2 linked regions of the Astyanax mexicanus genome follow. The protein of the gene in region 1 purifies or fractionates together with the protein of each later gene. This does not show direct contact. Links are inferred from orthologs where the notes say so. Each region holds a gene or a part of one and is shown on either strand. Other genes may lie near its edges. The genes, in order: naf1 and nop10.

Region 1 (13,819 bases):
ATCTAGTCATTGGTTGCAATTACATTAGGTCAAAGCTGCAATCACAATATAATTATAGTCAATCTACAAACAGCATTATTGATGGTATAGGCAGATTGCAAGCCTAAAATTGCTACTAAAGAACAAAAATGGTACTTCCAAGATCAGTTGAAAACTTAGGCTACGCTCACATTAAAAACCACATTGCTCAAATCCGATTTTTTCCTCAGATCGGCTTTGGCTACCTTGACGGTATACATTCACATATGTAAGTGACCTGTATCTGTGTGTAATCTGTGTGTTCACTAACAACAAAATAAATCTCATATTCGAGAGAAAACTTGTAGCTTTATAAAGGGAAATTGATTTGTTTGTTAGCAGCTGATATGTGGAGCATCTTGTGCTGGAGTGGAGAGTAAACAGCTGCTCTGAAGTTCATGCTCAGGTTGAGGAGGTGAAAAAAGGCCAGGTGGTTTGCTTTTGCTGTTTTTTTGCAGCTATATAGCTGCACAGCTGCACCAAGAGATGTGTGGGTACGAGAGAGAAGCACGTAGCACATGATTGTAAAAAAAAAAAAACGCATGAATTCAGTTTTGACCGTTCATAATTATGTCTCATGTCAATTGGATTGGATATGTATCCAATTTTGGACCACATATTAAAAGTGACTCAAAAATGATTTTTAAAAAAATCTAAGCAAAAAATCTGATTTAAGTCACTTCAGCCTGATAATGTGAACGTAGCCATAAATGCTGACAATGAGCAGCATCGTAAAACCTGATTGATAAATGTCAAAATATTTACAGAATGGCAGATCATTAAAGCAACACATTTACCTCTGGGGGAGGCTCCTGATCATTCTTCCAAGAAGCATCTGATCCTTTAAATCTACAGCAAGAAAAAAAACAGAATATTCATCAATAAGAGCAAAAACAGACTGCTGTTTGTGATCAAATGCTAAAGCTAACATAAGCAAAACACCAACATAAGGTATTTAAGTGGTAGTAGTTTATCCTTGAGTCTTTACATCCGAGTAAATATGACTGACTGAGAGCCATGTCCAAATATTCAGAAATGACGGATTACTCACTTGTTCAGCTGCTCAGTAAAGATGTAGTCTGTGAAATCTTTGATATTTGGAGCGAAGAAAATCGTCTCCCCTACTTTCAAGTTCTTCTGTTCAATGTCTTCGTGAGAGTTGAACCTTAAGATGTAGTAAGGCTGGAAAACTGGACCAAAGACCTCAAACACCTATAGAAACAAACAAAAAAAAGGACACAAGAGACACACTACTGACTACTCAGCTACAAAGACAGTAACTCAACACACGATTAAAGTCACAATGAATGTAGATCAGAAAGAGAGCAATTCTAATCCTAAAAACACTAAGAATATGAAATATCTGAAGCATGCTGAGGACTCACCTTCCCAATAGCTGTCCTGTCTTTGTTGAATAGGACACTGTCTTCATTCAGGGGTTGTGAGTCTTTCATTGATTCAACAATTACTACCAAGCAATACAAAAATCAAAACAACAGCAATATATTACTTTATATGACTGATATATTAAATTAATCATTTGTTATCTCTTCCTACACAATTACAAATAAAATTATACATTGATCCATTAAACAATGGTTTGATTGGTACTTTGAATGCCACAGTAAGAATACCTAGTTGATCTATGATGCTTGAAACAGTTCCAATGGGCTCAATCTGTGTGTCCTCAGGAAGGCTGATGTTCAGATTTTCCACTGCAGGGAGATCCTACACACAAACAGGACGGACATCAGTAAGAGTTTAACAAGACCAATTGTCCTACCCAGTCAGCTACAAGTCAGCTGTATATCCCCGAGTAGCTTCACAGCATGCTCGGAGGAAAGCGCAGCAACACATCAGCTCACAGACGACTCGTGCTGATCGCCATCACCCTAGGAGTGATGAGAGAAAAAAGCGCCATCTACCCAACCGGAGAGAGAAAGGTGCAAGCTGCATGACTGGGATTCAAATCGGCAATCTCCTGATCATAGTGGCAGCACTTTAGACCCTCTTAGTTAGAGTTAACTAATAACACCATAGTCCATATGTCTACATAGAGTTTAGCAACACACATTGTACAGCTGTTAGAATTAAAATTAAAGTAGAATTAAAACTGAAACTGAATATTATTAGTATTTGTTTATTACCCCAGTGTCTATTTCTCTATTTTATATATTTATGTATGTCTCCGCTGCAATTGAAGTGTCAGAGATAGATAATTTATTGATACTTTATTGATGCCAGAGAGAAATTACAAAAAAGATCAGATAACATGATACAGATTATAATAAAATAAAAATAAAGTATAAAAGTAGAGCCTTTTAATGTATGTGTGTGTGTGTGTAGTGTGTGAGGTAGTGCAGTTAACCACAGTAAAACAACAATGACCTCACCTCAATCAGCAGCTCATCCTGTGTCTTGACTGGTGGTGGCCTCTTCCCAGGAGCAAGATTATTTTCTTGGTCATCGTCTTGATCAATCTCATTCAACACTGAGCAAATGACTCCAGATGAGGAAGAGGAAGATGAGGAGGATGAAGATGAAGAAGAGTCTGAGTCACTGAAAAGGAAAAAAGTCTCTCACAAAAATCGATAGAACATGAAACAGCAGATTTGTCTGTATACTCAAAATATGGCTGATATATATATATATATATATATAAAAGTTTAGGTGCCATTTTTTTTCCATAAAACTAATGATTCTATATACACTGCCCAGCCCCAAAAAAGTCTCCACCTGGATTTAAGTAAGTAAATTATGTGGGGTTGGTTGGTTGATGCTGAAGTTGGTCTGCAGGTTTAGGTTCAGCAACAGTATGTGCTGAAAGAATGAGGTCAGCTGACTACCTGAATATAGACCAGGTTATTCCATCAATGGATTTTTTTCCCCCTGATGAACACGGCCATATTCCAAGATGATAAAAAATGTCAGGATTCATGGTGCTGGAATTGTGAAAGAGTTCAGGGTTCAGGGAGCATGAGATCATCGTTTTTACACATGGATTGAGAGAGTTCACCACAGAGTCCAGATCTTAACCTCATTGAGAATCTTTGGGATGTGCTGGATGGAGAAGAGCTGCTTTGTGCAGTGGTCAGACTCTACCATCATCAATGCTGCTGCAAGATCTTGGTGAAAAATTAATCCAGCAACACTGGATTTAAAAAAATCTTATGACATTGCAGAAGCTTATTAAAACAATGCCGCAGTGAATGTGTGCTGCAATCAAAGCTAAAGGTGGGACCTTTTTTTTTTGGTGGCGATTTTTTGGCCAGGCAGTAATGAAGCAAGAGATAAAAATAAATAATTTTAAAAACAGAATGTGTAAATAACTATGTCAGGTTACAAAGTTCATACACAGTTAAAACCTCTTGAAGATTGTTCTTTATAAACCATTAAAAAACACTGTATACAGGATCTACTAGTGTGAATTAGTGAGTCCGTGCAGTTTTTATAAGTACAGTAAGTACAGTAAGCTCGTTATGATGTATAATTTAAGTGTTTTGTGTGTTTTATACCTGTCTGAGAGATCTTCAGAGCTGTCATCTCTGTACTGCTGGCTTAACAAAGTCAAAGATCCTCCACCGCTGATGGGACTCACTGTGGCTTCACCCACAGCCTCGTTACAAGAGCCAGAACATGGTTCTTCTTTCAGGTCAGATACTATTATGTCCATGGGTTCATTTTTCTGTGAGTCAGCCTCTGCTGTAGCTGCATCAGGTACAGCATCAGGGTTCTTTAGTGAGCATTGTTCTGTAGCACTGTCAGTTTCTGGCTTCTTATGTTCATGTAGATTGTGATCCACAGGTACAAATTTAGGGCTTTGTTTTTCTGTAGCACAGCTACTGTCTTCTCCCGCTGATGGATTAACATGTACAGGTGCATCCACCGGCATATCTGCTTGTGGCTGAAAAATAGTGAATAACACATACAGGAAAGATGTTAGGATGTTAAAAAATATATTTATATATTTACAAGCAAAAAAAAAAAGAGTGGTTAATTCACTAAATCAGAAATGGGGCAACTCTAGTCCTGTAGGGATGAAGACCTACTTAATCCAGCACACCCGATTTAACTGTTAACTACCAGCTTTAATCAGTAGAGATTTATTTTGTGTTGACATTAGGGGTGGGCAATATGGCCCTAAAATAATATTACAATATTCCAGGGTATTTTTCGATAATGATATTCTAGATATATATTTAATTTTTTAGTGTTATTGCTTACAATATAAAATGGCACACCCCAAATTGAGATTTTCACTAGATTGTAACAGAAGACAACGATCAAACACTAATAGTTGAAAACCGCTGGAATATAATCAAGAAGAAGATGGATGATCACAAGCCATCAAACCAAACTGAACTGCCTGAATTTTTGCACCAGGAGTAAAGGCATAAAGTTATCCAAAAGCAGTGTGTAAGACTGGTGGAGGAGAACATGATGCCAAGATCTTGGCTGTGATTAAAAACCAGGGTTATTGCACCAAATATTGATTTCTGAACTCTTAAAACTTTATGAACATGAACTTCCTTTTTCTGCAAATAAATTCTTTAAATAATGTTTTTTTTTTATTTGGGAGAAATGTTGTCTGTAGTTTATAGAATAAAACAACAATGTTCATTGTAGTCAAACATAAACCTATAAATAACAAAATCAGAGAATCTTATTCAGAAACTGAAGTGGTCTCCTAATTTATTCCAGAACTGTTTATCCAGCAATTAAGTAAATAAATGATACAGGACAGATATAATATGTCTGGAGTAGATTTTCTTTAATAGGACAGACAGCATAAAGGTGTAACACAGCAAACAACAATACACTCTAGCTGGTGTGTTAAAAACAAGCAACATACTAAACTATGCAGGGCATGAGGTCTTCACTTCCAGGATCAGAGCTGAGAATCTATATGCCCCATGGCACTAATCTCACACAGAGATCTAGGTTCCTGCAGACTTCACCTCCAACCCTAATCCAGTCTACCTGATCCACCTAATTCCTCCCTCCACAAGTCCTGGCTGCGTCCCAAACCACATACAAGCTACTAAATTACTGTAATGAATGTAGCTACTTGTATCTAGAGTTTACCACGTTTGTCAATTTGCCAATTAGCTAGTAGTACAGCTGTAAGCACAACACTTTACAACTGGACTGGGTGGGTGGTGTTCTCTGAACTTAGATAGTAGCTGTTTGTGTTTTTTATTCAGTTTTCTAATCTATATAAAAATCAAACCAGCCTAATTGAAGTAAGCGATGGTAATTGTAAAAACGAAACAGACTCAGTAGCAGTTCACACTGTAGTAGATTAGTAACAGTAGTTCTGATAAGCTAAACTCTACAGGTTTAAACACTGAACACATTACTGAAGTCTAACTTTCAGAGAAAACTGATTTAGATCCGGTACCTGTGTGTCTGTGAGATCCTCCCCGGTTAAACTCTCCATACTGTCTTATTTTCGGGCTGTTGACTGAAGCTGGATTCAGAAACACTCAGGCATGCTAGTCACACATGTGGCACAAACACGCTTTCAAGCGCGCAGCTTCCGGAGACAATATTTATTTCAAAATAAAAGTCACCATATTCTCTTCAGTCGTTTCCTTAAAACAAGGTAACTTTATATTTAAACTCACGATATGATGTTAAAATATATTATTTAAAATAATAAGAGATGGGTGTCGGTGTTCGTGGTGGACATATATTATTATAATTATTATATTGTGATAATTATTAATATATTATTTAAAATATTTTCACGTCTTTTACACCTAAATAGAACATCATCAGTTAAAAACCTGCGAAAGCATTCGCAGATTACTAGAACGCTTTTTTTGTTCTGTCTGCAGTGAGTGAATAAAAAATATTAATATACTCGGGTATTTTAGCTCATTTATCATTTTATGCATTTTATGTCTAGGTTTTTTTTTTATGCATTTATGTTATAAAATAAAGTTTTTGTTCAACTGAATTCCATTGCTTGTGTTTTTGTACCCTATAGGTGTCAAAAGTGTCCATTACCGATTTGAGAGGCAGCAGATAGAGGTGGATCATAAAATACCATAAAATAAAAAATCCCCAAAATATACCCAGCTCCAGCCCAGTTCGCACCTACAGAGAGAAATAGCTTCCTTTTATTAATTAAATTAATTACATTTTATTAAATTAAATGGATTGGCCAATCTGTCATAACATTTTTGAAATGTAGTATTTTTTCTGCAAAGAGCAGGGGTTTAAAAATCTAAATTTACACAATTAAATTTGGCCATATATGTATAAAAACTGTATAACCCAGCAACACTAGTTTATTGCAGATATTACAGTCAAACCTCTAAAATCCACTGATTTTGTCTATTCGCATAGTGTAAAACATGCTGTCAGTGACTGAAATAAATATATATTTATTTTTATTGCTACTTTTATGAAATATTTATGGTTCCTGACCGGCAAACTCCTGTCGGATGATCTTAAAAGTATTCAATGATGTCTCTTCTTCAGTCTCTCACTTCTCCATCACGCACCTACAGTGCATGCAGAATCTATCAGAGTACTTTAAGGCAGTGTAAAATAGTCCAGCGCCCTCTAGAGCTCAGAACCAGCATCAGCAGTAACTACACAATAATCCGCCCAGCAGAGGGCGCTGCGCCTCTTTTACCAATACAAAACAGTTTATTTTACAACAATAACCAATTCTGCATCTAAATATTAAAATTTATGCAATAAACAGGTTATTAAATTGTATTTTTTTATATATTTTGCATTCAAATACAGCACCAGTTAAAAGTTTGGACACACTACTTCTTATTCAATGTTTTCTTTATTTCATTAATTTAAGTCATTTATTTCTCTATTGTAGATTCAAATATTAAAGACATGAAAGTAATTTAGGGACACATAAGGAATTATGGACTAAACAAAAAAGGTGTTCAGCCTCCACAATCCCCTGATCTAAACCCAAGATGATGAAAAAAATACTTTAGGTGACTTTACTCTACCTCATGAAGCCAATGAGTGTGCAAATCTCGTTACATTTACAATTTTAAAAAATCATAAAAAGAAAGAAAACACATTAAATGTGTATCTAGTACTGTATGCAGTATATATATATAAATATTTTTTGTTTAGAGTCTGTAAAAAATGTAATAGGTCATTATAAATCATAAAATAAATGCTAAATATTTGGTCTAAACTATATACAAAATTGCCCGAAATTTGTCAAACTGCACACCAATCAGTTAATTGCATCATTGAATCAGATTTTAAATCATGTGAATAAACAAGAAATGCAATGCAGTCCTAACGTGCTGATTTCCTGTAAACATACATTCCCATTTGTCTATTCAGTGCCTTCACTGCTTCCTCCTGGACACGGCAGCGGTCAGGCCTCTTATCAGACCCCTCCTTAGATGAGATTTTCCTGGACCCACACACCTCTTCTCTGGGTACCAGAGTCCTGATATCACTCTGAGGCCCGAACACACTGGTCTGAAATGTTGTCCAGGGCCGGGTGAGGGTTTTCTCTATGTTCTGCTTTGGCTCCAGAGGTGCTGTGGCAGGTCCAGGTTGTGTAGAGGTCAGTCTAGACTGATGAAGCAGGGGGGATTTAGTGAGGAGTCTACTGGTTAAACAAGCTCTTGATCTGGAAGCTGCTGGGGTGTCCAGTCGCTTCTTAACTACTGAAATATCTGTGTTAAAGACACTGAGAAAAAGACAAGAAATGAAAAATTAATATTTCTTACTTTTAATTTAAGTTATGGAACATTAAAACTCTAAAAGTTCACCAAACATGGCTCCGCTGATAAGCTACATTTGTTGGTAATAGATGAATTATGTAAATTAGATACATTTAGGTCCAAAAATAATTGGACAGTGACTCAATTATTATGATTTGAGCTGAGATGCAACTAAAGTGTAGACTTTCTGGTCTAATTCGAGGGGCTGAATAATAATATTCTATAAAGCATTAGAAATTTACAACCATTTTTATCCAAAGCCTCCTCATTTCAGGGGCTCAAAAGTAATTGGACACATGCATTTCACTCACTTAAGACAAAATAAAAGGTAGAAAGACCCACTGACCAAGAACAACTGAAGACAGCTGCAGTAAAGGCTTAACAAAGTATCATAAGGGAGGAAAACCCAGTGTTTGGTGAACATATCCATGAGTTCCAGACTTCTGGCAGTCATTGCCTGCAAATGATTCTAAATAGAGTATTAAAAATGAACGAAAATTTGATTTATGGTAAAATCATCATTTGTCCAATCCAGTGTGGTGCAATGCAGAGTCCAAATCATGAAGTTTGGGGATAGAAAGAGAAGACAAATATATATTTCACCTTGCAATATGGAACATTTCTGAATATGACAGCCCCACATATTTTTCAGTCAAAGTTGAAGACAGTAAACAAGAATAAAAACTTTTCTTTGGCAACTTAAAATAAAAAAATTTCTTTGGCAACTTAATTTCATTTCTTAATATACATTCATTCCTATATTTCAGACCTACAAAAGCTTTTACCATGTTATAATGGTTCTATTACATCTAGCAACAAGTTCAGTACTTACAACAGCATATAGTACAATCAATATAATACATAATGAATGGGTTTACTGTTGCCTGTGTCTGGAGAGTGGGTGGCCAGCGTTGAGAAGGTGAGTCAGGTCAGTAGCTCTCTGCAGTAAACTCAGAGCTTCTCTCCTTTCAGCCGCACAGGAGCTCTGCATTAACACTTTACCTGGAGAAAGAACAAGGTCAGTGAACCACTGGAGGCAACATAAGTCTGCAAAACTGTATTCTTTGTTTTTTCACATTGCATTGCATTGCCACAGCCAATCCCGGCCACTATTCCCATATATTATAATCAATCTCTCCGGGTAATAATAAAAAAATTAAATACTTAGAACAATATATGTTTTTTTAACAATATGCTGCATTGTATCCAGTTAAAATCACTTGGCTTTGTAGCATATAACCACACCAGCCCCTTTTTTCACTCACCGAGTTTAAGCAGAGTGTTGGTGAGGTCCTGCAGCATGGGCCTGGACAGGAAGGAGGTCATCCCCCAGCTCTTAATCACTCTTTCTCTGACATGGATGACATGACGAAACAATTCAGTGGCCTTCCTCTGAGTCCAGCTACAGGAAAACATGAAAAAAGATCATTTTACAACATTCTACATAGATATATATATATACAGCTCTGGAAAAATGGGATCACTTAAAAACGATTGTTTTTGTTCATTTTACCAAATAAAAAAAAACTCTGGAATATAATTAAGAGGAAGATGGATGATCAAAAGCCATCAAACCAAACTGAACTGCTTGAGTTTTTTCACCAGGAGTGCAGGCATAAAGTTATCCAAAAGCAGTGTGTAAGACTGGTGGAGGAGAACATGCCAATATGCATGAAAACTGTGATACAAAATCAGGGTTATTTCACCAAATATTGATTTCTGAACTCTTAAAACTTTATGAATATGAACTTGTTTTCTTTGCATTATTTGAGGTCTGAAAGCTCTGCATCGTTTTTGTTATTTCAGCCATTTCTCATTTTCTGCAGATAAATGCTCTAAATGACAATAATTTTATTTTGAATTTAGGAGAAATGTTGTTTGTAGTTTATAGAATAATGTTCCTTTTACTCAAACATAAACCTATAGACAGCAAAATCAGAGTCTCAGTTTTCCAACCAATTAAAACAGAGCACAATTACAAAACTACCTTTTTAACTCTTAAGGATGATGACAAACAGTCATATACAATGAAATCATAAAATAAAAATGAATAATAGATAAATAGAACAGAACAATATTAGAATGAAATGTATTAATATAATTATAAATAACAACATATAGGGTCCAATGCCTCTGTATGTAAGCCCATACTTCAACACTATCAAATTTACATTGCTATCATAATTAGCATCAGTTGTATAGGGCCCAAAATAGAACCCTGTGGAAATAAATATAAATATTTAAAACATTTTAATAAATATTTGAATTTTATAGTATTAATGAAATATTTTATATATCAGTGTTTTTCAGTCTGTGTCCAGATGAAGCTCCATGATCTAATCCCATTTTTTGTAAACTGTTAGCAGTGGGATAAGTAACACTGATGTATGCATATAATCTCCTGGATCTCTCACTCTTTGTCAGTGTGGTTGCTGTCAGACCAAATGTCGGCCAGCTGCTCCTCCACTGCTGCAACCAGGGGATGTTCAGTGCCATACCAGCGCCTCCTACTGGCCAAAACCGCCTCCACACAGCTCTCAGCTGCACTCAGCTCGCCAACAGCAAATCTGCACATAAAAAACATTTATACCTCATAAATTCCAAACATTTATCTATAATATGTTGATTTTTTTCTTCCAACATAAAATCTTTAAATGTTTGAAAGCACTATTTCTGTTTTGTACTAGGGGACCCTTTGTCAAATTAGATGTTGTTAGATTTAGATTAGATTATTGTCTTCAGACCACACGTTTTTTAAATTCAAAATAAGTGTCTCTATAGAGCGTTTACACTAAACAGATTTGGGATCCAATAATAAATTACTATTAAATTACTATAGTTATTATTATTTATCTATTCATTTTATTATTGTTATTATTCTTTATTTTGTGTATAATTGTATGACTATTGGGATTTAATTTCGTTTTTATTATTATTATTATTATTATTATTTTGTAGTTATCATCAGCCCTGCTTTTGCTTTATTATTATTTTTCCCCCTTTTTTCTTCCTTTTCTGGGTGTGTTTGGGTTATAATTTCTCTCTGTTATGTACAATTTTGTCTTTTGAACTTATTATGAAACAAAAATGTGACTAAATCAAATATAAAAACATTATTCAAAATAAGTGTTAGTTTGTTTAATTTTAACAAAAATGCAAACTTAAATGTGTCACGTTATATGTGTGTTTTCTAATTTAATATGTTAAATCCAGCAATAATTATTGGTTTCCAGGCATAGACCTTCTTTAACACTTTAACACGCTGTCCACATACTTTCATTTGGGTTAAGGTTAGGACTTTGGGTAGTTTTAAATAAAAGTAAAACTTTTTGTAAAAGCTTAAAGCTAGCCTGCTTTATTTTTTTTTCACAAACCCTCTGATGTGCCGGAACAGCCGGCAGCATCCATGTTTCAATGATGGGGTAGTCTAAAATTGTCTAGAGCAGTCTTCTTCATAAATTTTGTATCCACTTTGTGTCATGATGCGTCCACCACCATGCTTTACAGTTGGTACAGTGTTCCTGGGCTTGAGTATATAGCAGGCTTGTGCCTTTGGTAGTTGTTCCTGACCATATAATACTACCACTGTTCCTGAATTACAATGGGCTAACAATGACTTACTAATAATGTTACTGTCAGGAATTATTAAAATAAACAGTCTGCAGTTGATCTACGTATTGTTGCATATAATCACGTACTTGTATAGGCCTTGCAGTAAAGTAACAGTAGCTTCAGCACATGGGTGAATGCACTTGAGGCCAGTACTGCTGATTTCCTTTAAAAGTCCAGGAACTGTATACAAACAGCCTCTTTTCAGCTCTATCTGAGACAGAAAACACAGAAACTGCCCTGAAAAAGAACAAACATAAATACAGATGAGCACATCTACACACATATTACTGTAACATCCATAACACAATACACAAACACTATACAAACTGTATATCCACAGTTATGCTTTACTGCAGACTGACAGATCCTGCATCTGCTACCTTTTATCATCCTGATGTTCTCTGAATGAGAAGAACTGGAAACTGTAAGGATGTCTGCTGTTTTTAAGCCTTTACTGCTGTACAGCTCTGCCTCGTCCAGCTGCTGCATGTAGAAATAGAACTTAGCCAGCATGTTCTGCACTTCCAGCAGTGATCTCACGCTGTCTTCATCCAGCTCATCTGCCTGCAACATCAATAACAATATCAGAGGGGCTCCCAGTTGTCCAGCTAAGCATTGCCATCAGCTGCCAGAGCCCTGAGAGGTGGGTAGATGGCACTCTCTCCCTACAACACTCCAAAGGGTGATGTCGATCAGCACAAGGCATCTGTGAGCTAACGTATAAGAACCGCGTCGCTGCGCTTTCCCTTCATGCGCACTGTGATGCTACTTGGCAATGCTGCCTCAGCAGCAGTTCAAAAAGAGGTGGTGACTTTACATGTAGTGGAGGAGCCTTCACCTTACTTTACTATTGATAGGGGGAGTCCTAATGAGTGGGTTGGGTAATTGGCCAAGTAAATTGGGGAGAAAATGGGAACAAATCTCAAATTTAATCTAAAAATTATTTAAAAAAATACACAATATCAGAAAGATTTCTGAAATGTGTTGTGGGAGAAAACCTTTATAGTTACAGACAAAATGTGGCCTATGGTGCTCATTCAAATTTGAGGGTGACAAATTTAAAAACATAAAGCATAGAAATTCTAAGTATTAGTATTAGTAAAAACTAATGGTTGAAACACTATTCTTCCAAAACACAGTCTCACCTGTCTCACCTGTCTGTATATGTCCATGTACAATTTTAATATATTGCAAAACAAATAGAAAATCTCACCTGTTGAAGGACAGTTTCTGCTTCTGACAGTATTTTCCCAGCTTCTTCAGGCTTTCCCAAACCGAGCAGAAGGTCAAAGGAGAAAAGGGCTAACTTAACCCTACTGCCAAGATCTCGCTTACCACAACCTAAGATCAAATAGAAAACAATGTTCCATCAGTAGTATCTTCAGTAGATCAAATAATACCAACTTAAGTCATGATTTTGAATTAACTTAATCTTATTAATTTGGTTAGAAAATAAATAAATAATTAAATAAATAACTATTGAAAAGGGCCTACTCTTACAGTGGTGCCACAACAGTCCCTAGAGTGAAGCTTTTTGGACTAAAGACCATTTATATAAAGGTGTCCTATCACTAAAATCAACTTTTTCTTGTACTTTGTGAAATACAGTAGGTCTCTCTGAGTTGTATATAACGAGTCGATTTCTTTCTTTCTGGACCTGGACTACGCACCTCTGTGTGTAAGTAACTATAGGTTAAAATAGGTTTACTCTAAGACTAGATCAAAGGCTGAACTGCACTTAGCAGAGCATTACACATGTTGTAAAAATTAAAAAATGTCTTTATTTTAAATGTTTCAAACTGTTGTCCGTCTTGCATGTGTCACAGTGCTGTTAGCCAATCAAAGGGCGATTGATATGTTTGCATATATGAATATGCATGAGCAAAAGTCAAAATCCTATCGTTTCTCCCCCTCCACTCCTCCACAGGACTAAAGTAGCGTTATACCGGATCATCTGAGCACTTTTTTTTTACTTACATAAATACATTTTAAATTATTTAAATAAAAGTGACAACATCTCTGACTCTGTTCTGACCATTCAGTACAGTTGGTCTCTGGAGTGAAGAGACGGGGTCATACTCTCTTTGGCTCAGCAGCGTCCAATAACGAACAAGATCAAGCCTCAGCTGTGGGTACTGCCTCACACTGCTCGACAGGATACACACAGCTCTGTGGAAAATATGGTGATACGTTATCTGTACATGCTGATTAACATCAATGCAGTGTCGAGTATAAAATCTCCTGCTTATCTGACCTTATTTGTCTACCCTGAGTGTAACAGTCATAATACAGTATATTGCTTAAAATACTTTTGTGTACATTGTGGTAGATTTTCTTTTAAGAATGTAATGATTTACTACACCGTATACAGTGCCAGGGACAACTGATGACACCTTTTTAGTAAATGTCTTTATGTTTCCTGTCCATTACAAAACTGCTTCAGCTCAGTAAGAACTACACAAAAA
Region 2 (12,307 bases), on another chromosome or scaffold:
ATTGTTGAAAGTGTAGATGAAGTGAGGAAGTTCGGGCTTGAGGAAGAGGATGTTGTCAGGAGCCGAGTCACTTCTGGATGATGATATTCTGTATGATGGTCAATGGGCTCATTAAGATTGTCTTTAATCGGCAGCTGTGCAGCTGGACATGCCTGCTCTACTGGGTTCATGACCATCTTGGGAAGGTCATCATTGTTATCTGTCACATGAAATGTTTCCATGTCAGTCCCATCCCTGTCGTTTTTTAAATCGGCCATGCTCTTATTCTGTGACTGCTGTCCTGTCATACCTTTGTCGGCATTGTCCTCTTTGATCACATCCTTAGAAGACATTTCTACAGAGGCCCCAGAGGTTATATTTTCAGTGTTCTCAGGAGACTCCAGATCATTCTGGAAACTATTGAAGTCAATTCCAGTGCTTTGGAACTGCTTCCACAAGGTTTTGGGACTGGAAGCTTGCTTGATGTCTTCACTTACTGAACCAATAATAGGTGCACTTGTATGTGAAGAAGAAGGCACATTCTGGTCAGACAGGCAAGATTCAACTGCACTATGGATGTGCTTTTGAGCTAATGTTGGTAAAGAGCAGTTTTCTGGGACACAATCAGGATGTCCCATGCTACTGTGATTGATAGAACTCATCTGGAAGTAAGATAAAGGTTCAGGCAGTGGAGGAAACATTTCAAATTTAACCTGGGTGTTCACATTTTGAAAAGGTAAAAGCTGTAACCCAGTGCTTGAGGCAGGAACCGGGACATCTTTGTCAGGTAAGGGCATTCCAGGATCACTCGATTGATTTAGCAAAGCAGGTTTTTCACTGAAGGTCGTAGGTGGTGGAAGTATACTATTGTCTATGTAGTAGCCAGATTGGAGAGTTTGAGGCTGTGGTTCAGGGTGTTGTTTTGGTTCTGGTGCTGTAGCATAAATGGATTCATCTGGGGATTGAGGATGTAAGTGGCATACTTCTGGTGCTACTTCTGAGTCGTCCTACAATAAGATTCGATCAGAAATGTTTAATGCATTTTCAAAAAATATATAAGTACATGCCAACAACTCGAGAAACTCATTACCTCACTGACAACGTGACTGCAAAACCCATCTTGCTCCTTGTCATCATACTGCATGAATTTCTTGTCTTGATTGTCATCAGACTCTTCTTTGTCATTTGTCTCTGGAGCTTCCATGACCTCGCTGTACTCGTCTGGTGCCGCTTTAACTACGTCAGGTGGTGCTGAGTTAGAGCCTTTCTTCTGATCAGCAGCTTCAAAGACAGAAAGAAGAAAAAAAATGCTTTTTTTAAGCTTAATTAAATAGATATTCCACTCTTAATATAAGGAGATACAAGGCTAAATGCAGACCTTGGCCCATGGCTGGTGGTTCGTCTCTCACAGTTGGAGTTTGCTGTTGTTGCTCAGTGTCTTGACTGCTTGCTGCTTCTATTGTCCATAAGCTTACCATTTCCTTCAGTTCATAGTCCATGAACCTGGTGGAACACATGCATGTCTGTAGGCATTTTTCTGCTTTCCCTTATCCCCAAAACATGCAATCACAAATCTCATAATCTAAAGCCAATTTTCCCTGGCCTGATGAATGCTCCTTCATTCCCAAGCCCAGTGTTTCTCAATTCTGGCCCTGGTACTCACCTGCCCTGCATATTTAGACCTTTTCCTGCTTCTGAAGGACTCGATTCCACTAATTAGTTCATTACAAAACACTGCCCCAGCCTTATAATTGCACAAGCATTTTCTGGTCTTTTAGGTGTGCCATCATTCCCTTATCATATAAAACCGCCATTGTTTCCCAGCCTCATAAGATACATAAGATTCCCAGACTCCAGATAACTGTGCCGATGTTCCATGTCATGCAATCTTCATAGTCATTCCGACTTCATAGGTGTGCAAACTTTTCCCAGTTTCATCGATGCATCATCGTTTCCCATTTTATAAACCATCTCTAAACAGTAAAAAAAAAATATTAAGAAGTGTTCTAAATCACACTAAATTAGTAGAAATTAGCTGTTCCCTAGTCTCAATGGTTACTACTAGTACTACTGTTTTTGCAGTGGATGAGACCAAGCTCTACTGTTTTATTGGTTTATACACTTAATTGGCTGGTTCATGGTCTATTCTGACTACAGGACAACAGCCCTTAAATAGTGTAATGTGCTATAAAATATTTTATAAAAATGAAAATACATGATGTCCATTGTAATGGATGCAGGGTCTGTAAGGCCAGGGAATTGCAAGGTTCAAGCCGATTCTGAAATCACCCTGCAACTTTACAATTCCCACACTAAGACAACAATTGCTGACATGTATAGTAGTGTTCTGAAATGCAATCTGGTGTTTATTAGATGCTGGTAACAATCATACTGACCTCTGAGCCTCGTGGTAGTACTCCATTCGTTCAAAGTCGGACAGCTTCTCCCACTGTGACACAGCGATCTTCACTGCTTCAAAACGAGGGACACCGGGGCATTGAAGAGTGATGGAGTTTATTACTTGTCTAAATAAATACAAAGAAAGATGTTTCACAGATATGATGTGATTTTAAAGTAGTTTGGTAGAGTTTTAGCTTAGCAATATGCTATTGTATGTATTTATTTCATTTTACCCAATTAAGCAGAGCCAATTAACCCACCAACTCACTAACATTCCATTTATCACTTGACCCTAGGAAGACAAAGCACTCGAAGAGTCCCAGAGAGAGCATGGCAAATTGTGCTGCTGATGGTGATGCATTTCAGCTTAATACTCACATGAAGAAGCAAGCCAAGGCCTCCACATCTGGACTGCTGGTGTAGACAAAAGATGCTACCTTGCAGAACATCTGCCAGCGCCTGTAGTTTTTATACAGTTCCTTTGAAGGATTATACCCCTCGCAACACGATTGTACCACAAGGGGCTGTTCATGTTCATGGCTGGTGTTACATTGGAAGTCTTGGCAAGGAAGGAGCGGGACCTCACTGAATGAAGGAGCAGCTGATACTGATGATGTAGTGCTATACATCTGAGGCACTTGAGGGCCAACTGTGAAGTTTGACTGGTTGATCTTCATATATGAACTATGTGGGAGCCAGATTCCATTGGGCAACTGAAGGCTTGGCTGGAAGAAGTCAGGTGGTAATTGATGATTTGATTGCATCCCGTTAACCGTGAGACATGGGACTACTGGAAGATAAGAAGGATGGACATGCTGGAGTCTGGGTAATTGATAGGCATTACCACATGGTTCAGTTGAGACATAGTTGGAGGTGGAAGGCAGGTTTAGAGGCAGTGATGGTCCAGGGACGTCTTGAAAAGGTTGTGGTTCTGGAGGAGACTGAGATATGAATCTTGCCTCTGGAGGAGGCCATATGAATGCATTCTCCATGGCTTCGAAAGAGGAAGGTGGAAAATTATGGGAAGAATGAAGTTTTTCACTACCATGCCCTTGATTGTTTTTCTGACAAAGCAGTTCCAAGATTGCAAGCTTAGTTTCTTGCTCTTCCATTTGAGTTGGAACAAGCTCAGTTTGGTTCTTAGTATGTTTTGAACCAAAAATGGGCTCAGGATCAGGTACATACACTGCAGGATTTACTGGTGGCTCCATGAAAGGTTTTGGATGATCTTCGGGAAGGGCGACACATTCTGGGCTCATAAAGATGTAATCTAAAAAATTACAAGGTGCACTTGCAGATCCAAGTTCCAGTTTAGCTTCAGTTGAAAGCACTGATGTTTCAAATGGTGTAGGATCTCCTAAGGTCCCTTTGCCATCATCTGGCTGCAGTGTGTTCATTGTTATGAGCTCGTCAGTGGACAACAAAAGGGATGCCAGGTCTGGAACAGCACCATAGTCCATGGCTTCGATAGAGGAAGGCGGAGAGTTATGGGAGGAATGAAGTTCTTCAGTACCAGGCTCTTGATGGTTTTTCTGCAACCAATCAAGTGGTTCAGACTCCAGATGAGACTGAACAGGATCTTCTGCCATCAGACGAAGCAGTTCCAAGATTGCAAGCTTAGTTTCTTGCTCTTCCATTTGAGTTGGAACAAGCTCAGTTTGGTTCTTAGTAAGTTTTGAACTCAAAATGGGCTCAGGATCAGGTACATATACTGCAGGATTTACTGGTGGTTCCATGAAAGGTCTTGGATGATCTTCAGGAAGGGCGACACATTCTGGACTCATAAAGATGTCCTCATCTACAAGGAAGTCTTCTAAAAAAAGACAAGGTGAACTTGCAGATTCAAGTCCCAGTTCAGCTTCAGTTGAAAGAACAGATGTTTCAAATGGTGTAGAACATCCTGGGGTCCCTTCACCATCTTCTGGCTCAGTGGACAGGAAAAGGGATGCCAGGTCTTGAACAACTCCACAATCTTCTGCGTTTTTTCCAGTGCCCTCAGTGATTGGGGTTGTCATGGCTTTCTCTGTCCTTTCTCCTCCTTGCTCTTGAGAAGGAGGGGAACTGGTGGCTTGATCCACAAGTGAGGTCTACAGGTGAAGGTACATCTGCATGAGAAAACTAAGAGAAAGTACAAAAAATGAGGTTAGTATTGCGACTGTTCTTCTGAAATTAAATGTATTTAAAAGTATTTATCATGCTTTCATCGTAGTGACTGCCTCTAATGTCCAAAAAAGCTTTCTATTAAATTTTTAAGCTTTGTTGTGAGGATTTGATTGCATTCAGTAGCAAGAGCAGATATAACGTTAGTGAGGTCAGAATTCCTGAGAGCCTAATGCTAGTCCACACTGTCTGCCATGGTCATTCATCTTTGTATATGGTTTAATACCAAACGCTTCATCACATATTTTTGTTCAACCCCTTGAATTAAATATGAAAGTCTACACTTAACTTCTTCTCATTTGCTTCATTTTAAATCCAGTGTGGTGTCACATAGAGCCCAAATCATGAAAAATGTTTCCCTGACCAAATATTTATGGAGCTGACTGTATTTCTTTTCTGTATGGAAGGCCAATAGTACAGTTTCCTAAACTGCTGTAATAAACAGTGAGCTGTAGAGGAGGTATTATTATTATTAGGCCTGATACAGCTGTACTATACTCAGTGTTGTGCCAGTTCACAGCTTTTCTGAACTAGTTCAGTTCATACATGCTCAAAGTGAACAGTTCACGTTCAAAGTTCACAATTTTAATTCTGAACTAGTTCAAAGTTCAGTTCATTTTACTTTTTTTCTGAGATATTCTAAGTTCTTTGAAACTGCTTATTGTAGACATTTGCTCATGACACTGCAATTGTGGGTTTCTTACCAGGTGATGAAAATGTTCATAAGGAGAATCGGTGTCTGTCTCCAGTCATCACTTCCACTAGCCATTTTTTTTTATTGCAGCGCTTTCTCTCACTCCCGTCATTGCTCTCTCTCTCTCTCTCTCTCTCTCTCTCTCTCTCTCTCTCTCTCTATCTCTATCTCTTTCTGTATCTCTCTTTCTCTCTCGCCCTCGCGCTCCGCGCTCTCGTCGTCGGTCTCTCTCTCTCTCTCTCTCTCGCCCTCGCGCTCCGCGCTCTCGTCTTCGGTCTCTCTTTCTTTCTCTCTCTCTCTCTCTCCCTCTCTCTCGCCCGCACTCTGTCGTTGGTCTCTCTCTCTCTCTCTCTCTCTCTCTCTCTGCGCTCTTTTGAACTCGTTCATGCACAACACTGAATATACTGTACTGTACTCACCTTTCACTGCAGTGCAAGTCAACAGAGCCTCCAGCTATCACTGAAGATCGGTTCGCTCACTTCATCAGTTATCAGTGCAGCTTGTTTTTATATTTAAAAATAAACAGCATTCTATTCAGCCAATATAAACCACATTTAATTTACTATAATAATAATAATAATAATAATAATAATAATAATAATAATAATAATAATAATAAACACAGGAAATCTCCTTGGAATAAGGATTATCCATGTTCATTTTAATAATAGTAATAATAACAACAATTTGCTAGAATTAAACTGGCAAGACTTAACTATTTAAAAATATATACTGTAAAAAATATATTATAATAATAAAGTAAAAACAATATAATTTATTCATTTTGAATATAGTTAAGGACAGTTTCATTTGTTTTTCCGCTCATTAAAGAAACACAAACTGCAGCTATATTTAAAGCTAGATTGCACGGCTAAATTGTGCATAACATATCCTATAATAATAAGGATAATATCATATCATATTATATAATATTATAGATATATTACTAAAAATAATATACTATTAACTACTCAACTAACTACTGAAGCATTTTGCTCAAGTAAAAGTATAAAAGTACTGGTTTCAAAACTACTAAAAAATTCAAAACAGTAAAAGTAAAGTAAGGGGAAAAATGCCTTTAAGGTAAACAATTTAATATTTATGCTCTGATATCTATTATAGCAAGTAATTTGTCCGAATTAAACAATAATAATTATTAATAATTGGTGCAGCTATATTTTAAGTGCACAACTAAATAAACATAATAAAAAGTACAGCTGAGGTTAAACAGCTCCTTAAATAAATAAATAAATGACAATAATAATAATAATAATAATAATAATAATAATAATAATAATAATAATAATACTTTTGTAACAATTAATGAATTAATTAGGGAAATAAAAGTGCGCTAAAATATGCATAGTAAAAAGTACAGCTGAGGCAAAACAGATCATATAATAATATACAATGTCATATAATATAGGAATATTTCTAATAATCCTCATTTTTATCCTTATTATTATTATTATTATTATTATTATTATTATTATTATTATTATTATTATATAAAAATGAATTTAGTATAAAGTGTGGCATTATTGTACCGGCAGGGGGCGGTCGCTCTGCAGCGATGATGAGTCGTTACTAAGAACTCCATTTCCCATCATGCTCCTCGCTCCTGACTTATACCGGATGTGGTGTTGAGGAGCAGAGGAACCGCGTGGTTTACGCAGATACTGGACTGTTCTTCGTAAAGCGCTGATTTATCTCATTTTCAGCTCTTTAATCCGGTTTAAAGGCTTCAGATCATCTAATCTAAACTCCAGAGGAACCGCGCTGTAACCATGTTTCTGCAATTCTACCTGAACGAGAACGGAGAGCGGGTCTACACCCTGAAGGTCTGATCCGGATCCTGATCCGCTTTAACGTTACTCACTTAACTTTACTAACCAAAAGCTGATGTAGGGTAAAAAAAAAACGAAGTTGTTCAGATCTTACATTCTGGTTCAGTTAGTCTGGGGTGGTGGACCAGCTTTTTATATCGTCACCAGTAAAGTGTAACGTTAGCTCATGTAACTAGTTATTATGAGTTGGGTGGTTGTATCTGGTTAACAAGACTGATCAGTTTGGCCAAGCTAACCAAAATAACCATGAAGACAATACTGTACCCTGCGAATAAGCCAGTTCAAGAGCAGGGTTTTGCTGGTAAGTTAGCTGGTAAGAAGCTGGTAGATGGTCTTAAATACTCATTTATGGTTAATGTGTTTTTTTTATATGAAACTAGGCATCCAGGCCAAAACGGACCAACTAGCTGATTAACTGGCTGTTAAACATCACTTTGTGTGTTTGTTGTTTGTGTGACTGGTGTGGTGTAGTGGATAACACCACTGCATGGCACATGTGGGAGACTGGGGTTTAATTCCCAATCTGGGTGCGTATGCTGTGCTACATCAATTGGTGGAGCCAGGGGCAAGACTCCTGACACTACATTGGCCCACCTCTGTAACATCAGTAAAAGCAAATCAAATTCAACATATTGAACACTATGCTAATTGATAGCTGATTAACCAGCATATAGTCTGTTTTTGCCTGGATGAGCAGCTTTTTAATCACACTCACCATCAATTATCTTCATGTTTATGTAGTAAATATAGATTCTCTTGGTTTTCTCTTTTAATTATGGTGCTTTGCAAAGTGTTGAGTATTATAAAAGCATGCTCATGATTTAAGTATTGTCTTATTGTTTGGCCCTATAAATGATATAACTCCATAAAATAACTGTATGTGCAAATAAAAGTTAATTAATTAAGAGAAAGATGGCTAAATTTGACACTTTCTAAGAAGTTCCCAGAGGAAAAGAAATTGCTGTATTGTGCAAAAGAGTAGAGCCAGTGAGAATAGAAAAAAATAAGAGAAAAGAAAAAGAAATCTGACAAAATAGAGTGTAAGACAGAACAATAAACACATGCAGCAAGTCATTAAACATTTGCTATTTATGTTTCTGTGTGCTACTAGAACATTGTATGTTGGACATACTGTAGTGAATAGTACAGTATACATGCAGTCAACATTTATTTATTTATTCTTTATTAATATTCCAATTTCAGAAAGTGGATCCAGAAGGCCAGCCCACCAGCTCTGCACATCCAGCTCGATTCTCCCCTGATGACAAGTTCTCCCGGCACAGAGTGACCATAAAGAAACGCTTTGGACTTCTGCTGACCCAACAGCCACGACCTGTGCTGTAACAGAGCACCAAACAATGGACACATCAAGGACATGAAGTGTGTGTTTGCGTGTGCACATGCACACGTTTGTGTGATGTTGGTTGCGTAATATTTTGTTTTACTCTATCCAGTAAAATTGTATAATTATGTTGTTATACAATGTCTAGAGACATCATTTTAAAATGAAAATTTTCCTCAGTTTAATTGAAGCATTTTCTTTAATCTGAGTAAATGTGATACTTTATTAAATCAGGAGAACATTTCTCTCTGTTTTTCTGCAGTTTACCCTTTGCTTCTGGAATTTTGAAATGAATTAATTTGTCACATTTTTAACTCCACTCTCAATCTCTGAGTTTTTTTTCTTTGGGGAAATGAACCCCTTATTCAATAAAACTCATTTGCTAACCTACTGCTGGGTCTGTTTATTGTTTTACCAACATAGAGTGTTGTAGTGCAGCTGTCAGGAAGATAAGATGGGGCCAGAAAAAAATAGAAGAAACCTACCAGACCACTACAGAGCCGCTTTTAAAATTCTACATTCTACATGCAAAAAATGACCCCATATTATAGAATAGTATATTAGGTTATCTACCCACTTGTGAATAATGGTGATTTTCATTAAAGAAAAATCTTAAGGACTGCTACTTTAAGTATTTTGGAAAGTCAACAAGCAGATATGTATTATGTTACTTATCATTATAATTTATTATGTTTTTGTTATTTTACCCAATTTGAAACAGTGACATTTTAACATTGTTTAGTGGTAGAAGGTAGATTACTTTTTATTTTTTTATTTATTTATTTATTTATTTATTTATTTATTTATTTTTTACTTTATATGTATATGGATTAAAGTACAGTAGTGAAGTAAAAATAATACTCCAGTAGATATAGATACAGTATTTTAGTACTTATGTGCAGTTGTGAAGCAAATTCTATTTTTCCTGTTACACATATCTGGTTAAATATATATATATATATATATATATATATATATATATATATATATATATATATATATATATATATATATATATATATATACAGCTCCGGAAAAAAATAAGAGACCACTTAACAATTATGAGTTTCTTTGATTTTACCAAATTGAACACCTCTGGAATATAATCAACAGAAAGATGGATGATCACAAGCCATAAAAACCAAGTAGAACTGCTTGAATTTTTGCTCTAGGAGTGGCATAACATTATCCAAAAGCAGTGTGTAAGACTGGTGGAGGAGAACATGACAAGTGTGAATAACTGTGATTTCAAAACAGGGTTAATCCATCAAATACTGATTTCTGAACTCTTAAAACTTTATTAATATGAACTTGTTTTATTTGCATTATTTGAGGTTTGAAAGCTCTGCATCTTTTTTATTTCAGTATTTCTCATTTTCTGCAAATAAATGCTCTAAATGTCAATGTTTCTGTTTGGAATTTGGGATAAACGATAAAACAACAATGTTCATTTTACTCAAACATTTACCTATAAATAACAAAATCAAAGAAACTGATTCAGAAACCTATATATAAGACTACATTACCCATGCTGCACATCGGTTCCTTTTGTACGGAAAGCGAAAGTGGCCAAGCGAGCCTGTGTATAATACTCTATTAGACAGTGCAGGAGGAGGAGGACGGGCGGTAACTGAAGCACGAATGGGTTTAGTTTAATTCAGTTCATCCAGATCAGGCGCGGCTTTCCCCGGAACTGAGGCGAGACAAGGTGACTCCAGGTAAATGTGCTGGATGGGGAGAATCGGGGAGTGTTTATGGTTGGGGATAATGGGGCTGTGTTTATTACCTGGCAGCTGCAGGAGCTGCTGGGACCTGGGAGCTGTCAGATTTGACTAATTACACACATAGCTAACTAGCCAGCATGCTAAATAGGTAGGCGCTTTATGAGCTAGATAAAGGGTAAAAGCCCTTAATGAATTAGCTAGTTTATCTAACAAATCCTAACCCGAGCAGTAAACAGAGAAACAGAAACAGAGAGAAAACAGTGCTGCCTGCTGCCTCCATTCACTACAGCTGGCTGCTGGTGTGTTGTGCTGGGTATTCCTCCGCAGTCCTGGCGCAGTGCTTTGGCTAAAACATCAGCCAGATTTTTATCACTTTATCCCGGTCTAAACTCTCATCTGACCGGCGCCGCATCTCTGACACGGCCGAATATTATTGTGCTGTAAACGCTGCGCTGTGTCCGCAGACTCCGGGCTGGACTGACCGGTCCGATCCAGAAATCCTAATTGGCTTAATATGGATGCTAGCGGGGCTAGTTAGCTAGCTAAGCTAACTGTTAGCTAAGTTAGCTGAGCTGTGATGCTAGCGGGGTTAGTTAGCAAAGCTAACTGAACTGTGTGATGCTAGCGGGGCTAGTTAGTTAGCTAAGCTAATTGATATGTGTGATGCTAGCGGGGCTAATTAATTAGCTAAGCTAGCTGCACTGTGTGATGCTAGCAGGGTTAGTTAGCTAAGTAAGCTAACTTAGCTTAACTGTGTGATATGACAGCAGGGCTAATTAGTTAGCTAAGCTAGCTGAACTGTGTGATGGTAGTGGGGCTAGTTAGTTTTTTCTCTAAAGCTGTTTTGTGACCACTTCTGTTGTGAAAAGCGCTAATATATAAATTGAATTGAATCAAGTTGGCTAAACTTACTGAACTGTGTGATGCTAGCAGGGCTAGTTAGTTAGCTAACTAGTTAAGCTAGCTGAACTATTTGTTGCTACTGAGGCTAGTTAGTTGGCTAAGCTAGCTGAACTGTGTGATGCTAGCGGGGCTAGTTGTCTAGCTAAACATGCTGAACCGTGTGATGCTAGCAGGGCTAGTTAACCAGCTAAGCCAGCTTTACTGTGTGGTGCTAGTGGGGCTAGTTAGCTAGCTTGACTAGTTAAACTGTGTGATTCTAGCCGGCTAGTTGAACTGTGCGATGCTAGCGGGGCTAGTTTGCTTTCTAAGCTAGCTGAGCTGTGATGCTAACGGGGCTAGTTAGTTAGCTAAGCTAGCTGGACTGTGTGATTCAAGTGGGGCTAGTTAGATAGCTAAACTGTGTGTTGCTAGTGGGGCTAGTTAGCTAAGCTAGTTGAACTGTGTGATGCTAGTGGGGCTAGTTAGTTGACTAAACTTTTTGTTGCTAGCGGGGCTAGTTAGCTAGCCATGCTAGCTGAACTGTGTGATGCTAGAGGGGCTAGTTGGCTAGCTAGACTAGTTGTGATTCTAGCCGGCTAGTTGAACTGTGAGATGTTAGCGGGGCTAGTTTTCTTTCTAAGCTAGCTGAGCTGTGATGCTAACGGGGCTAGTTCGTTAGCTAAGCTAGCTGAACTGTGTGATGCTAGAGGGGCTAGTTGGCTAGCTAAGCATCCTGAATTGTGTGATGTTAGCATGGCTAGTTAACTAGTTAAAATATCTGAACTGTGTGATGCTAGCTGGGCTATTTCGTTATCTAAGCTAGCTGGGCTTTATGATGCAAGCTGGGCTAGTTAGCTAGCTAAGCTAGCTGAACTGTATGAAGCTAGCGAGGCTAGTTAGCTAGCTAAGCTAGCTAGCTAGCGAGGCTAGTTAACTAGCTGAGCTAGCTGAACTGTGTGATGCTAGCGGGGCTAGTTAGATAACCTAGCTAAACTAACTCTATGTAGAGCAAGCATCGGCAGCAATACAATACTGTGATTAAAGACTAGTATCAGCCATGGTATGATACTGTAATTAAGGGCTAGTATCAGCACTAATTCAATGCTCTATTTTAAGTAAATATAAGCATCGATACAATACTGTTTTTAGAGCCTGTATCATCACAGATACGATACTGTATTTGGGGCTAGTATCAGCACCATTACGATACTGTAATTAAGGGCTAATATCGGCACCAATACAATACTATTAGCATCAATACTAATGTGTTTATGCAACA

What was found.
Region 2: the proteins of naf1 (region 1) and nop10 purify together in Homo sapiens (co-immunoprecipitation; 6 studies listed by BioGRID and IntAct, with this or other methods). This does not show direct contact. The link is inferred for Astyanax mexicanus from reciprocal best matches to the Homo sapiens genes NAF1 and NOP10.

The regions. Positions count from the first base shown.
Region 1 is NC_064409.1:7,205,524-7,219,342, reverse strand, and holds the start of naf1 (H/ACA ribonucleoprotein complex non-core subunit NAF1), read right to left. Parts: upstream 5,554-13,819; 5' UTR 5,459-5,553; coding exon 5,420-5,458; intron 3,923-5,419; coding exon 3,534-3,922; intron 2,578-3,533; coding exon 2,412-2,577; intron 1,747-2,411; coding exon 1,653-1,746; intron 1,487-1,652; coding exon 1,404-1,486; intron 1,231-1,403; coding exon 1,070-1,230; intron 868-1,069; coding exon 816-867; intron 1-815. Other genes in the region: ttc41 (putative tetratricopeptide repeat protein 41), read right to left, coding at 7,306-7,708, 8,621-8,744, 9,008-9,144, 10,157-10,309, 11,441-11,591, 11,735-11,918, 12,568-12,695, 13,390-13,523. UniProt on the Homo sapiens protein: RNA-binding protein required for the maturation of box H/ACA snoRNPs complex and ribosome biogenesis.
Region 2 is NC_064432.1:21,453,178-21,465,484, reverse strand, and holds nop10 (H/ACA ribonucleoprotein complex subunit 3), read left to right. Parts: upstream 1-6,850; 5' UTR 6,851-7,020; coding exon 7,021-7,074; intron 7,075-8,283; coding exon 8,284-8,424; 3' UTR 8,425-8,812; downstream 8,813-12,307. Other genes in the region: uncharacterized protein LOC103045361, read right to left, coding at 1-986, 1,070-1,260, 1,358-1,482, 2,376-2,504, 2,758-4,394. UniProt on the Homo sapiens protein: Required for ribosome biogenesis and telomere maintenance. Part of the H/ACA small nucleolar ribonucleoprotein (H/ACA snoRNP) complex, which catalyzes pseudouridylation of rRNA.